Linked DNA regions of Mus musculus. The protein of the gene in region 1 purifies or fractionates together with the protein of each later gene. This does not show direct contact. Links are inferred from orthologs where the notes say so. Each region holds a gene or a part of one and is shown on either strand. Other genes may lie near its edges.

What was found.
Region 2: the proteins of Rnps1 (region 1) and Hnrnpc purify together in Homo sapiens (co-immunoprecipitation; 3 studies listed by BioGRID and IntAct, with this or other methods). This does not show direct contact. The link is inferred for Mus musculus from reciprocal best matches to the Homo sapiens genes RNPS1 and HNRNPC.
Region 3: the proteins of Rnps1 (region 1) and Srsf4 purify together in Homo sapiens (co-immunoprecipitation; 3 studies listed by BioGRID and IntAct, with this or other methods). This does not show direct contact. The link is inferred for Mus musculus from reciprocal best matches to the Homo sapiens genes RNPS1 and SRSF4.

What each region holds. Positions count from the first base shown.
Region 1 is NC_000083.6:24,417,641-24,421,290, forward strand, and holds part of Rnps1 (RNA-binding protein with serine-rich domain 1), read left to right. Parts: intron 1-397; 5' UTR 398-507; coding exon 508-578; intron 579-816; coding exon 817-972; intron 973-2,565; coding exon 2,566-2,757; intron 2,758-3,650. UniProt on the Homo sapiens protein: Part of pre- and post-splicing multiprotein mRNP complexes. Auxiliary component of the splicing-dependent multiprotein exon junction complex (EJC) deposited at splice junction on mRNAs.
Region 2 is NC_000080.6:52,076,372-52,080,021, forward strand, and holds part of Hnrnpc (heterogeneous nuclear ribonucleoproteins C1/C2), read right to left. Parts: intron 1,193-3,650; coding exon 1,032-1,192; intron 1-1,031. UniProt on the Homo sapiens protein: Binds pre-mRNA and nucleates the assembly of 40S hnRNP particles. Interacts with poly-U tracts in the 3'-UTR or 5'-UTR of mRNA and modulates the stability and the level of translation of bound mRNA molecules. Single HNRNPC tetramers bind 230-240 nucleotides.
Region 3 is NC_000070.6:131,890,501-131,894,150, reverse strand, and holds part of Srsf4 (serine/arginine-rich splicing factor 4), read right to left. Parts: intron 2,945-3,650; coding exon 2,802-2,944; exon of another isoform or gene 2,742-2,801; coding exon of another isoform or gene 2,717-2,741; intron 2,071-2,716; coding exon 1,958-2,070; intron 1-1,957. UniProt on the Homo sapiens protein: Plays a role in alternative splice site selection during pre-mRNA splicing. Represses the splicing of MAPT/Tau exon 10.

The DNA.
Region 1 (3,650 bases):
CCATTGTGGTGTCTAATATTTTGAAAGCCATCTACAGGTGGCTGGTTCATCATCAAACTTGGTGAACTCTAGTGTGGGACAGGCCCTAAAAAACCAAATGTAGCTACAATTACCTCTCCCACTTCATTAAGGAAAACAAAGAAGAATCTTAATATGCCTGTACCTTAGACATGTAATACATTTTGCCTTTCTTTCTCAAATAAAAAACCTAAGGTGGCCTCTAAGAGTAGGAAAGGCCTCCATGGCGCGCTAATGAGGGCCCTGGGTGTCAAGGCTGTGTGGACACTTGCTGTTTGCTGTGCTTCTGTCCTGTGTGCTCAACGGTCTTTGATGCAAAATAGAGTTGATGCTTTGTCAATTGGTTTGCTCTATTTCAATCCTTTTATCTTGTTACTAGGCTGCTCTTTGGCGTAAATTGCAATCGATTAGGGATCGTTTCTCAGACTCAAGTTAGAAGTGAGAGTTCAGATAAGTGAGGCCGACATTGCTGCCTTGAAGAAGGGGAGAATGGATTTATCAGGAGTGAAAAAGAAGAGCTTGCTAGGAGTCAAAGAGAATAATAAAAAGTCCAGCACTAGGTAATCCTCTGTAAGATTTTTTTCTAGTGCTATTTTGGGGGTGCTTGCTGTTTAAGGACCCTAGGAAAGGGGAGATTTTTGTTGTTGTTGTTCTACAGTGCGTGCCCTAATTCACAGATGATTTTGCTCTGTGATCACCTGGGATGTTAGTAATCCTTTTGGACCGCACTACTGGGTTGTGCTATCTCAGGGTTTGGTCAGAAGGGCTTGCAACCTCACATTCTATCTTATCATGCAGGGCTCCTTCTCCTACCAAACGCAAGGACCGATCTGATGAGAAGTCCAAGGATCGATCTAAAGATAAAGGGGCCACTAAAGAGTCAAGTGAGAAGGATCGTGGCAGAGATAAGACTCGGAAGAGACGCAGTGCTTCAAGCGGAAGCAGCAGTACCAGGTGGGGCAGAGGGAACCATGTCTTCCTTCACTGTGAAGCCCTCCAAGAACTTCTTTGGGGGAAAGGGGTGACACGTGTGTGTTGTGAAGGCCAAAAGTATGTTAAATTTCTTCCTTTGGGGAGGTGTGAAGGCCATCTGCTCTTCCATGTTCCCACAAACAAACAAACCTAGGTCCAGTTCAGCAAAGTTCACTCTAGGAAATCAGTGAGTTTACCAGGCTTCCAGTGCAGTGGGTGAAGGATAATTGGCAGGAATGTGGGTGGTAACTGCCCTGTGAATGTTCCCTCCCCACAGTCCCCTACTTAAAGCCTTTGCCTGAGACCTGAGGACCTGTGCAAATAGGGCAGAATTACAACTGGTTTGGAGGGGTGGCTGGATACTCCAGTGAGGGTCCCTTGACCCTGTCCCTTCCAAGAGAGACAAGCCCAGTGTGATGATCGTTAGTGAGCAAGCCCAGTTGAAGTGAGAATGACAGCAACTTTTCTGCGAGGGTAGTCCTGTATGTGTGGCTCCCTAAGAGCTGTCTGCCTAGCTTTTCCATACAGGATTTCATTGCTTCCTGCAGCTTGCCAATTGAATTGAGCTGGTTGCCCAAGGGAAGACTACGTTGTCTTAACTACATTGAAAACAGACCCTAGAGTTGTTGATAAGACCCTAATATAGCATGCAGGTTTTGTTTCATTATATATGTTATGTGGTCTTGCTGTGTAATGTGTGTTTGTGGATATAAACTCTCCTATGATACTAAAGTGTGATGTTTGGATAATGGATGAATTGTTTCTCTTGCAAGTATGTATTCATCCTGAAATGAGAATGACTGGCTTCAGGCTGGAGCCTTTTTTTTTTTTTTTAAACTGTGTTTATACATGCATACCATGTGTGTGCCTGGTTGTCACACAGGCCAGAAAGGTGCATTGGGTCCCCAGAAACTAGAGTCACAGGCAGTTGTGAGCTGCCATGTGGGTGCTAGAAACCAAACCTGGTTCCTCTTACCTGCAGAGACATTTTTCAGCTCCCAGTCTGCTCCTTTTTTTATTTAAGATGTATTTATTTTTATGTTATTTATGTATTTATTTTAATGTGCACGGTCACTGTCTTCAGACACACCAGAAGAGGTCATCAGATCCCATTGTGGATGTTTGTGGGCCACCATGTAGTTGCTGGGAATTGAACTTAGGACCTTGGAAGAACTGTTAGTGCTCTTAAACTCTGAGCCATCTCTGCAGCCCCTCTTTCTTTTTATTTTTAAGTTGAAAACCTGCCTGAATTGGTCTTCAGCCCTGTTGATCTGATTTTTGCTAGGCTGCTGCTTTTTCCTCATTGGTAAAAATAAGGATTCTGTGTAGGTAACAACAGCCCATCTCATACGGTGTTGGGACTTGTCAGATGTCATTACTGGTGAAATGGGGCTTAAGCAGGAAAGCACCGGGCAGTGGTGGCGTATGCCTTTAGTCTTAGTGCTTAGGAGGCAGAGGCGGGCAGATTTCTGAGTAAGAACCAGGAGAGCGATATCCTCTACTGAGCAGTCAGTCTTCTGTGCAGAAATAGGACTCTTGCTCATTGACTCTGTGACACCCCCACCTTGTCCTCAGGTCTAGGTCCAGCTCCACCTCCAGCTCGGGCTCCAGCACCAGCACAGGCTCAAGCAGTGGCTCCAGCTCGTCCTCTGCATCCAGCCGCTCAGGAAGCTCCAGCACGTCCCGGAGCTCCAGTTCTAGCAGCTCCTCCGGCTCCCCAAGCCCTTCTCGGCGCAGGCATGACAACAGGCGGCGCTCCCGCTCCAAGTGAGTTCAGAATGGCTAGCCTGCTCATTACAGTAGTTACTAGAAAAGTAGTTTGGGCTGACAAGATGGCTCAGCAGGTAAAGGTCTTTGCTGCCAAGCTTAACAGCCTGGGTTTAATTCCCGGGACCCACATGGTGGCATGTGATAACTCCCGTGGTTTGTCCTTTAACCTCCAATGTGCACAGTGACACACAAGTGAGGGGAAGTGCAGTGGTACATGCACATGTATTTGTACCAGGATAGTCGGAAATTTGAGGTCATGGTGGGCTGCGTGTGAGCCTGTCTCAAAAAGACACGAGAGCCAGGCGTGGTGGCGCACGCCTTTAATCCCAGCACTCGGGAGGCAGAGGCAGGCAGATTTCTGAGTTCAAGGCCAACCTGATCTACAGAGTGAGTTCCAGGACAGCCAGGGCTATACAGAGAAACCCTGTCCCGAAAAACAAAACAAACAAACAAAAAGACATGAAAGAAAGTGAATAAAAGTTAGAGGGTGGGCAGGATGTCTGAGTCAGTGAGGGTGCTCGCTGCCCAGCCCATCAACCAGACTGCCCTTCCCCGGAATACACAAGGCAGGAGCTGAGAAGGGCATCTCCCACAAGTTAGTCTCTAACTCTATGTGTGTTGCCCTGGTGCATGCCCCACAGAAGTAAAATAGACACAGATTTGAAGGGGTCTTAGTTTGGTTTCTGAATCAGGGATGATAGTCTTAGTGATCTGTTTCTGTGAAAAGACACCATGACCAAGGCAATTCTTATAAAGGATTGGGGCAGGCTTACAGTTTCAGAGGTCCATTATCCTCATGATAGAGAGCATGGTGGCACACAGGCAGACATGGTAACTAAGAGTTTTACATCCAGATCCACAGTAGCAGGAAAATCTAGAAACTGCACCTG
Region 2 (3,650 bases), on another chromosome or scaffold:
AGACTACAATCCTTAAACAACATTCTTTCCCCCTCTTCCCTGGTTTGTATTTTTTTGGGTAAACTGAGACCAATGCCAGGTGTCACCTTGCTCTCTATCACAGGATATAGGAGGTGTTTTAAGAGATTAAGAACAGTGTTGGGCTGGAGAGATGGCTCAGCGGTTAAGAGCACTGACAGCTCTTCCAAAGGTTCAGAGTTCAAATCCCAGCAACCACATGGTGGCTCACAACCATCTGTAACAAGACCTGACTCCCTCTTCTGGAGTGTCTGAAGACAGCTACAGTGTTCTTACATATAATAAATAAAATCTTTAAAAGAGTGGTGGTGCATGCCTTTAATCCCAGCACTCCCAGGCAGAGGCAGATTTCTGAGTTTCAGGCCAGCCTGGTCTACAAAGTGAGTTCCAGGACAGCCAGAGCTACACAGAGAAAACCTGTCTCCAAAAACAAACAAACAAATGAACGAACAGTGTTGATGTGTCCCTGCCTCCCTAATGGAGGGATGAAAGCCATTACTACTCTGGATCCACCTCCACATTTTTGAGAAAGGATCTTTCAGTGAAATGGGTGGGAGCTCACTGATTTTGCAAGGTTAGGTGGCAGGCAGGTGCAGGGCTGTGTGTCAGCCTAAGAGAAGTTAAAGACATCTAAGATGGTCTGCTCTATATGAATGCTTGGGATACAAACCAAGGTCCTTACCCTTGAAGCATTAGCTTTACTAAGTGGACATCACCCAGACTCAAGTTTACACTCTAGTTATGTCAATGCTAGCAATTTCTCAAGAACAGGAAGAATAGGTAGCTAAGTGGTTGAGTTTGCTAGTTTATACTTGCAGAAGCTCTCAGGGAAGTTCAGTTCTCAACACCCAAATCAGATTATCTCACACCCACAACTACATCTTCAGAAGAATCAACACTCAGGAATAAACACTGGCCCCCACCCCTTACACACAAATGCCAGGAAAAAAAAGCACTACCTGGGAGGTGGAGTGTGCTGCATAAAAAACACCAAACAAACAAAAACAACATACATTTTCCAGACTTGGAAGAAGATCCCCTTTGTCCACTCTTCGAATTGAATCCACTTTTGCCCCTTCGTGAGGTGTTCCCTGAAACACGCTGACGTTTGGAAGGCACCACAGCTCGAGCAATAGGAGGAGGAGGAGGAACCCGCGCTGGGTAACTGTACATCCTGTGGGTTAAAGAAATAATTCTTCAAAGTGAATATTTAACTCCAGCCAGGCATGGTGGCCCACACCTTTAATCCTAGCACTCCCGAGGCAGAGGCAGGCGGATTTCTGAATTTGAAGCCAGCCTGGTCTACAGAGTGAGTTCCAGACAGCCAGGGCTATACAGAGAAACCCTGTCTCGAAAAACGAAAGAGAGGAGAGGGAGAAGGAGGGGAGAGGGGAGGGGAGGAGAGGAGAGAAGAGGGGAAGGGAGGGAAGGAGAGGAGAGAAGACGGGAAGGGGGGAGGGGAGAGGAGAGGAGAGAGGAGAAGAGGAGAGGAGGAGGGAAGGGGAGAGGGGAGAGGAAGGAGAAGAGATTAACTCAAGATACAACCAGAGCATAACAACAGGATTACTGGTTTTAGTCACCTCTTTTCCTTTTTATGTTATTCAAAACTCAATTTGATGAAAAATGCTGCAAGAGGAAAGAGCCCCCCCTCACACATACAGTAAATGATAGGCTTGACTAGACTTAAAAAATGGACTGTTTCCAGTTTATGGAAATTTTAAGAGAATGTAAGTTAGAATGAATTGCTTTTACCTTATACTTAAACAATTCACATAAAGTCAACTACAACAAAAAGGTGTTCTGATTTTATTCAAGTTCTAGATATTATTCTGAGGCCAGTCAGAATAATTTATGTGAATTTTTTTTCTCCATGGAACCCTGGAAAGTAAATATGACCCATCATACTTGGTGGCAGACACATTTTACCTGCTGAGCCATCTCGGAGGAACCAAGATAAGTTAATTTTAAAAAGTTTTGTTTTGAATTTATTTTTGTAAAATTGAAAAATTTTAGTGTTAACACATTACTTTCTCCAGCTCTACTATATTTAACCAATTTGTTCCCCTTTCAGTGTCATTGATTTCTGTGGTTCAAGGAAGAGTTTGCTAGCTACTTCTTTTGAGTTACAAGCTGAAAACACTAGGAAAGGTCCTATTACACTACGAATTAGCAGTAAGTTTTTACAGGACAGGAGTATCTGCGTATTACTTGCTAAGTGATAGTTTTAATCAATACTAAGTTATAGGTAATGAAGTAATCTAGAGAAAAGTTTACAGTGTTCAATGGAGCTGGAGCTCTGCGTACTACAGAAGGATGCACAGTTTTATAGGGACCATCTCTCATTTATGTGGCTTCAGCAGTCACAGGAACTTAACACTAACCATCTCACCAAGTACTGTTAAGAATGGTATACATAGTCTTTGAAAAACTATAAAAGTCAGATGTAGTGGTAAATCATGTAACCCCACACTCAAGAGACTGAGGCAAGGAGGATCTTGGGCAGACCTGGGCTACATGAGACTCCCCAAGCCAGGAGCAACAAAACACAAGAAAGACCAAGTCTAAACAAAACAAAAGCAAGGTCATTACCACTTTCAAAAAGTACAATGGTTTAGACTAAAACATCTATACTACAAAGAGAAGTCTCCCAATATATGCAAGAGCAATGGTGCCAATTATATGACTTATGGAATCCTTCATCTGAATTTATTTTTCTCATTTTTTAAGCAGGTTAAACATGAAAGGCTGGGGCTGGTGAGATGGCTCAGTGGGTAAGAGCACCCGACTGCTCTTCCAAAGGTCTGAAGTTCAAATCCCAGCAACCACATGGTGGCTCACAACCATCTGTAACAAGATCTGACGCCCTCTTCTGGGGTGTCTGAAGACAGCTACAGTGTACTTACATAAAATAAATAAATAAATCTTTAAAAAAAAAAAAAAAACAACAACAACATGAAAGGCTATGGAAGAAAATGTTAACAAACATCAATGATATATTTAATGGGAAGAAAAAATTTTAGTCTCCCTGAAAGACTTCCAAGCCAAAAATAATGTAGGCTAATGTAGACCACAAATTCACTATCATATCCTGGCTTTATACCTTAGCCCAAGCACTAAAAAAATTTAGCATTATTGGAGAGATGGCTCAGGGGTTAAGAGCACCAAATGTTCTTCCAGAGGTTCTGAGTTCAATTCCTGGCAACCACGTGGTGGTTCACAACCATCTGTACTGGGACCTGATGCCCCCTTCTGGCATTCAGGCATACATGCAGATAGAGCACTAATATACATTTTAAAAGATTTACTTGTATTTATGAGTGCACAGTAGCTGTTTTCAGACACACCAAAAGATGGTTGTGAGCCACCATGTGTTTGCTGGGAAATGAACTCAGGGCCTCTGGAAGAGCAGCAGTGCTCTTAACCACTGAGCCATCTCTCCAGCCCACAATAAATCTAAAGAAAAAAAAATAGCATTGCTTATTATGCATGTCTCACTGTCCTTTGAGATCTTTTCAATATTAGTGTTCTTTCGTCAGAGGTCCAATTTAGGGTTGGGGCAAAGTATCGGTTAGAATCTTCCTAGTACCTGAATTCAGGATGTTTTTATCTCAATCCCTAAGACTTCCAAGCTT
Region 3 (3,650 bases), on another chromosome or scaffold:
ACACAGAGCCCCTGGAAGGCAGAACAGGGCATCAGATACCCTGGGACTGGAGTTAGACAACTGTGAGCCACCTTGTATGCTTTTATGGGTATGAGTGTCTGGGTACCATATGCTTGTGCTGCCAGCAGAGGTCAGAAAAGGGGCCCTGGGGACCATGACACTGTAGTTATAGATGACTGTGAGCAGCCATGTGCGTGCTGGGAACTGTACCTGTCCTCAGAGCATCAGAGCACCCAGTGTTAACTGCCAAGCCATCTAGAGTTTTATCTTTAAATTATGTGCATATGTGTGTATCTGTGGGTGGCAATGTACATGTGGTTACAGGTGCCCATGGAAGCCAGAAGAGGCCATCACATTTCCTAGAGTGGAAGTTACAGGTGGCTATAAGCCTCCACAGTGGAGTGCTGGTAACTGAATTTGGGATTTCTGTAAGAGCTGCAAGTGTTTTTAACTACTCCCAGTTATAGGTCCTTAACTGCTAAACTATCTTTCCACCCCCAAGGGCTAGCCTTTTATGTCAGACTATTCTCAACTCATGGACATCTGCCTGTCTCAGCCTCTGCCCCGAGCACTGGGATTGAAGGCGGTGTGCACAATCACTCCTTACGCTTCTCTGCATCTCATCTTTGTTAAATTAAAGGTTTGTCTTTAGCAAACTTGAAAAAGATCCTTTATGATAAAATGAATGGCAAGGCGGTGCCTTTAATCTCAGCACTCAGGGGCAGAGGCAGGCAGATCTCTGATTTAGATGCCAATCTGATATACAGAGCTAGTTCCAAGACATCCAAGGATACACAGAGAAACCCTGTCTCTGAAAAACCAAGCCCCCCAAAAACACCCAACAACAAAAACCCCAAAACTAAACAAAAACAAGAAAACCCCAAACAAACCCTAACACAAATGTGAAGTATGCCTGACCACCCTTCTCTCAACGCCTTCATTTTGGTTTAAAACAAACAGTTTGCCTTTCATTTATTCTGAGTTCACTGAGTCAAGACACTCTTAGCAAATTTTCTTCCCTTCCAAGATTAGAAACTCAAGACGTGAACTCTAGCTCCTTGGATGGCCGCAGCAGCAGCAGCAGAACTTAACTTTTTCATTCTTGTGGTGCTGAGCTTCAGGTCAGGCACTGGCCAGGTTTAAGTGTTCAGCTCCAAGTTACAGCCCAGTCCAACTCAAGTCTATTATTATTATTATTATTATTATTATTATTTGCACATTGGTGTTTTGCTTGTGTGCAAACGTCAGATTCAGATCCTAGAGTTACAGACAGCAGTGAGCTGCCATATGGATGCTGGGAATTGAACCCCACCCCTCCCCCTCCCAAAACTCCTAGCTAGATCTTGGAATTTTTGAATAAAATCTTCTTTCCTTCCTTTCTCTTCCTTTTTAAAATATTTTATTTCTTTGACTGAGTCTCACTATGTAGTCCCGACTGGCCTGGAACTCACTGTGTAGGTCAGGTTGGCCTCCAATTTTACCGAGCTCTGCTTGCCTCTAACCCCCAAGTGCTGGGATTAAGGTGTGTGCAGCCTTGGCCAGCCCATAATAAATAGTTCTTAAAAGATGGGTCGACCCCCACCCACTTCCAGCTGGTCTATTTTCATCTCAACCAATTATCTATGCACACAATCATAACTAAGGACACCACATGCTGGATAGTCTCACTGTGTGGACCCACACTGGAAGCTGAAGTCAGTCAGGTTCCAGCTCGGGTTTACAGAAACATAGGTTTTTAGCCTCTTCTATGCAGCTCCACCCTGCCATCTCTCTAGAACACTGTCTGCAGGGGAAAATTCCATGGAATACAAATGATTCCTTGGAGCAGTTGGCATCCACGTAAGGAAAGTATGAGTGAGGTTTTAGTACCGGCTTTTACACTCCCAGGCCTGAATAAATAAGACTTGCTTCCTCCTCTTACCCATGCCCAACCTTAGAAAGTTAACTAGGTCCAAACCTTTAGGTCCTGCCAGCTGCATCGACTTGACAAATTCTCCACAATAAGTCTGTATTCTGTGCGAGTAGGGGGACCGTATTTATCTCGGCCACTTCTTCGATAACCATATCCACCTTTAGGAGGTTCAAACAGACAACATCATAGAGTGTAAGAGGAGATGACACAGCACACTCTTAAACTATGTAACTCAATCCCCCCTTTCTAAACAATAGCATGTGTATTTTAACTAAAGCCTCACCTTTAATTCAAGTTTAAACACAAAATTTCAGTAAGTTTTTAGGCATACACATTCACTAGTTAATATTTATATTTTAAATTAGCATGTATAAAATAAGAAACATAATTTAGAAAAGGCAAATTATTAAATCAGTTACTACTATTACCCCTAGTCATTAAAGTTTTTGTGAATAATTTTTATGGAAAGAAAAAGATGCAGGCACCCATTTCAGTTCATCTCATCTGTGTCTGAATAAATAGACTTGCTTGCACCCAGGTCTATGGGGTATGATTGTAGTCACTGAATGGCTTCCTATTTTTTGGTCAGCCAAATGGAAAGGTGACCAAGGTCAGCAAGTAGAATAGGTGGTCATCTTAACCTCAAAGGATTCTTTTAATTAAAATTGAGGTCTTTGTTAAATATATGTCAAGTTGTATTACAGAAGAAAATGTTTTAAAGTATTAAAAGAAACTCATGACATCAAATATTTACAATCTGTATTTTAAAAGATATATTCGTATAGAAACAGCTTAAATATCTACCTTTAAATAAAATACTGAAATACATTAAAAATTAGCATTTAAAACCGAGGTATGTTATTGGTACATCTATCCTTCACATGCTTACTGCGTCCCGAGCCGTAGCTGCCATCCCGCCGCGGGCCTCGAGCGTGCTCAACAATGACTCGCTCGCCACACAGGTCTTTGCCGTTCAGTTCATAAACAGCATCGTCTGCATCACGCAGATCATCAAACTCCACAAAGCCATACCTGTGAGAGAGCAAACAAAACCTGGTTGGCATCGGGGCATCCAGCTTCACTAACGTGTCAGAAATCAACGAGGTTCATGCTTAGCACAGGCTGGGGGTTGCAAACTAAGGGCCAACTTTCTCTTTTCTGTAGCCAAAACCACCTTGTCTTTGTGCCAACAGGCAACTAACTGCAGGAGTCAGAAGGCTGTGTTAAGTCTATAGGAAGCAGCAGCAGCAAATACCTCCAAGGGCTACTTGGTTTAAGGAATCAGCAAGAACTCACCCGCTTGCACTCTTACAAGTGGTGTCTGTACTAGGTGCAGCTGGCCCCTGATGCACTGACTGCTGAGTCACAGTCAAAGGAAAGGAGGTAGGTCAGTGTCGGAAGTCTCTCTTGTCAAAAGTTTTTTCAAGGTTCCTGGTTTCCTACCTAAACAAACTAGTCACAACTGAACTAATTCTTCTAATTACTAACTCTTCTAATGACTAATTCTACTAACTAACTCTTCTAATTACTCGCTATTTACTTCCCTGTGTGATTCCAAGTTTGTTTCCATGATGTCTGGAAAGGCTGACATGATCTACATACAACTGTACCAGCTTATTTATATCATATTACCAGGTACTTTCGAGCAGAGATAGGGTGGTTTAATACATGTGGGGGAAGCCCTCCCCACCCCCTAAATCCTTTTAATACCTGCTACAGACTAGTTAAGCTAAGTACA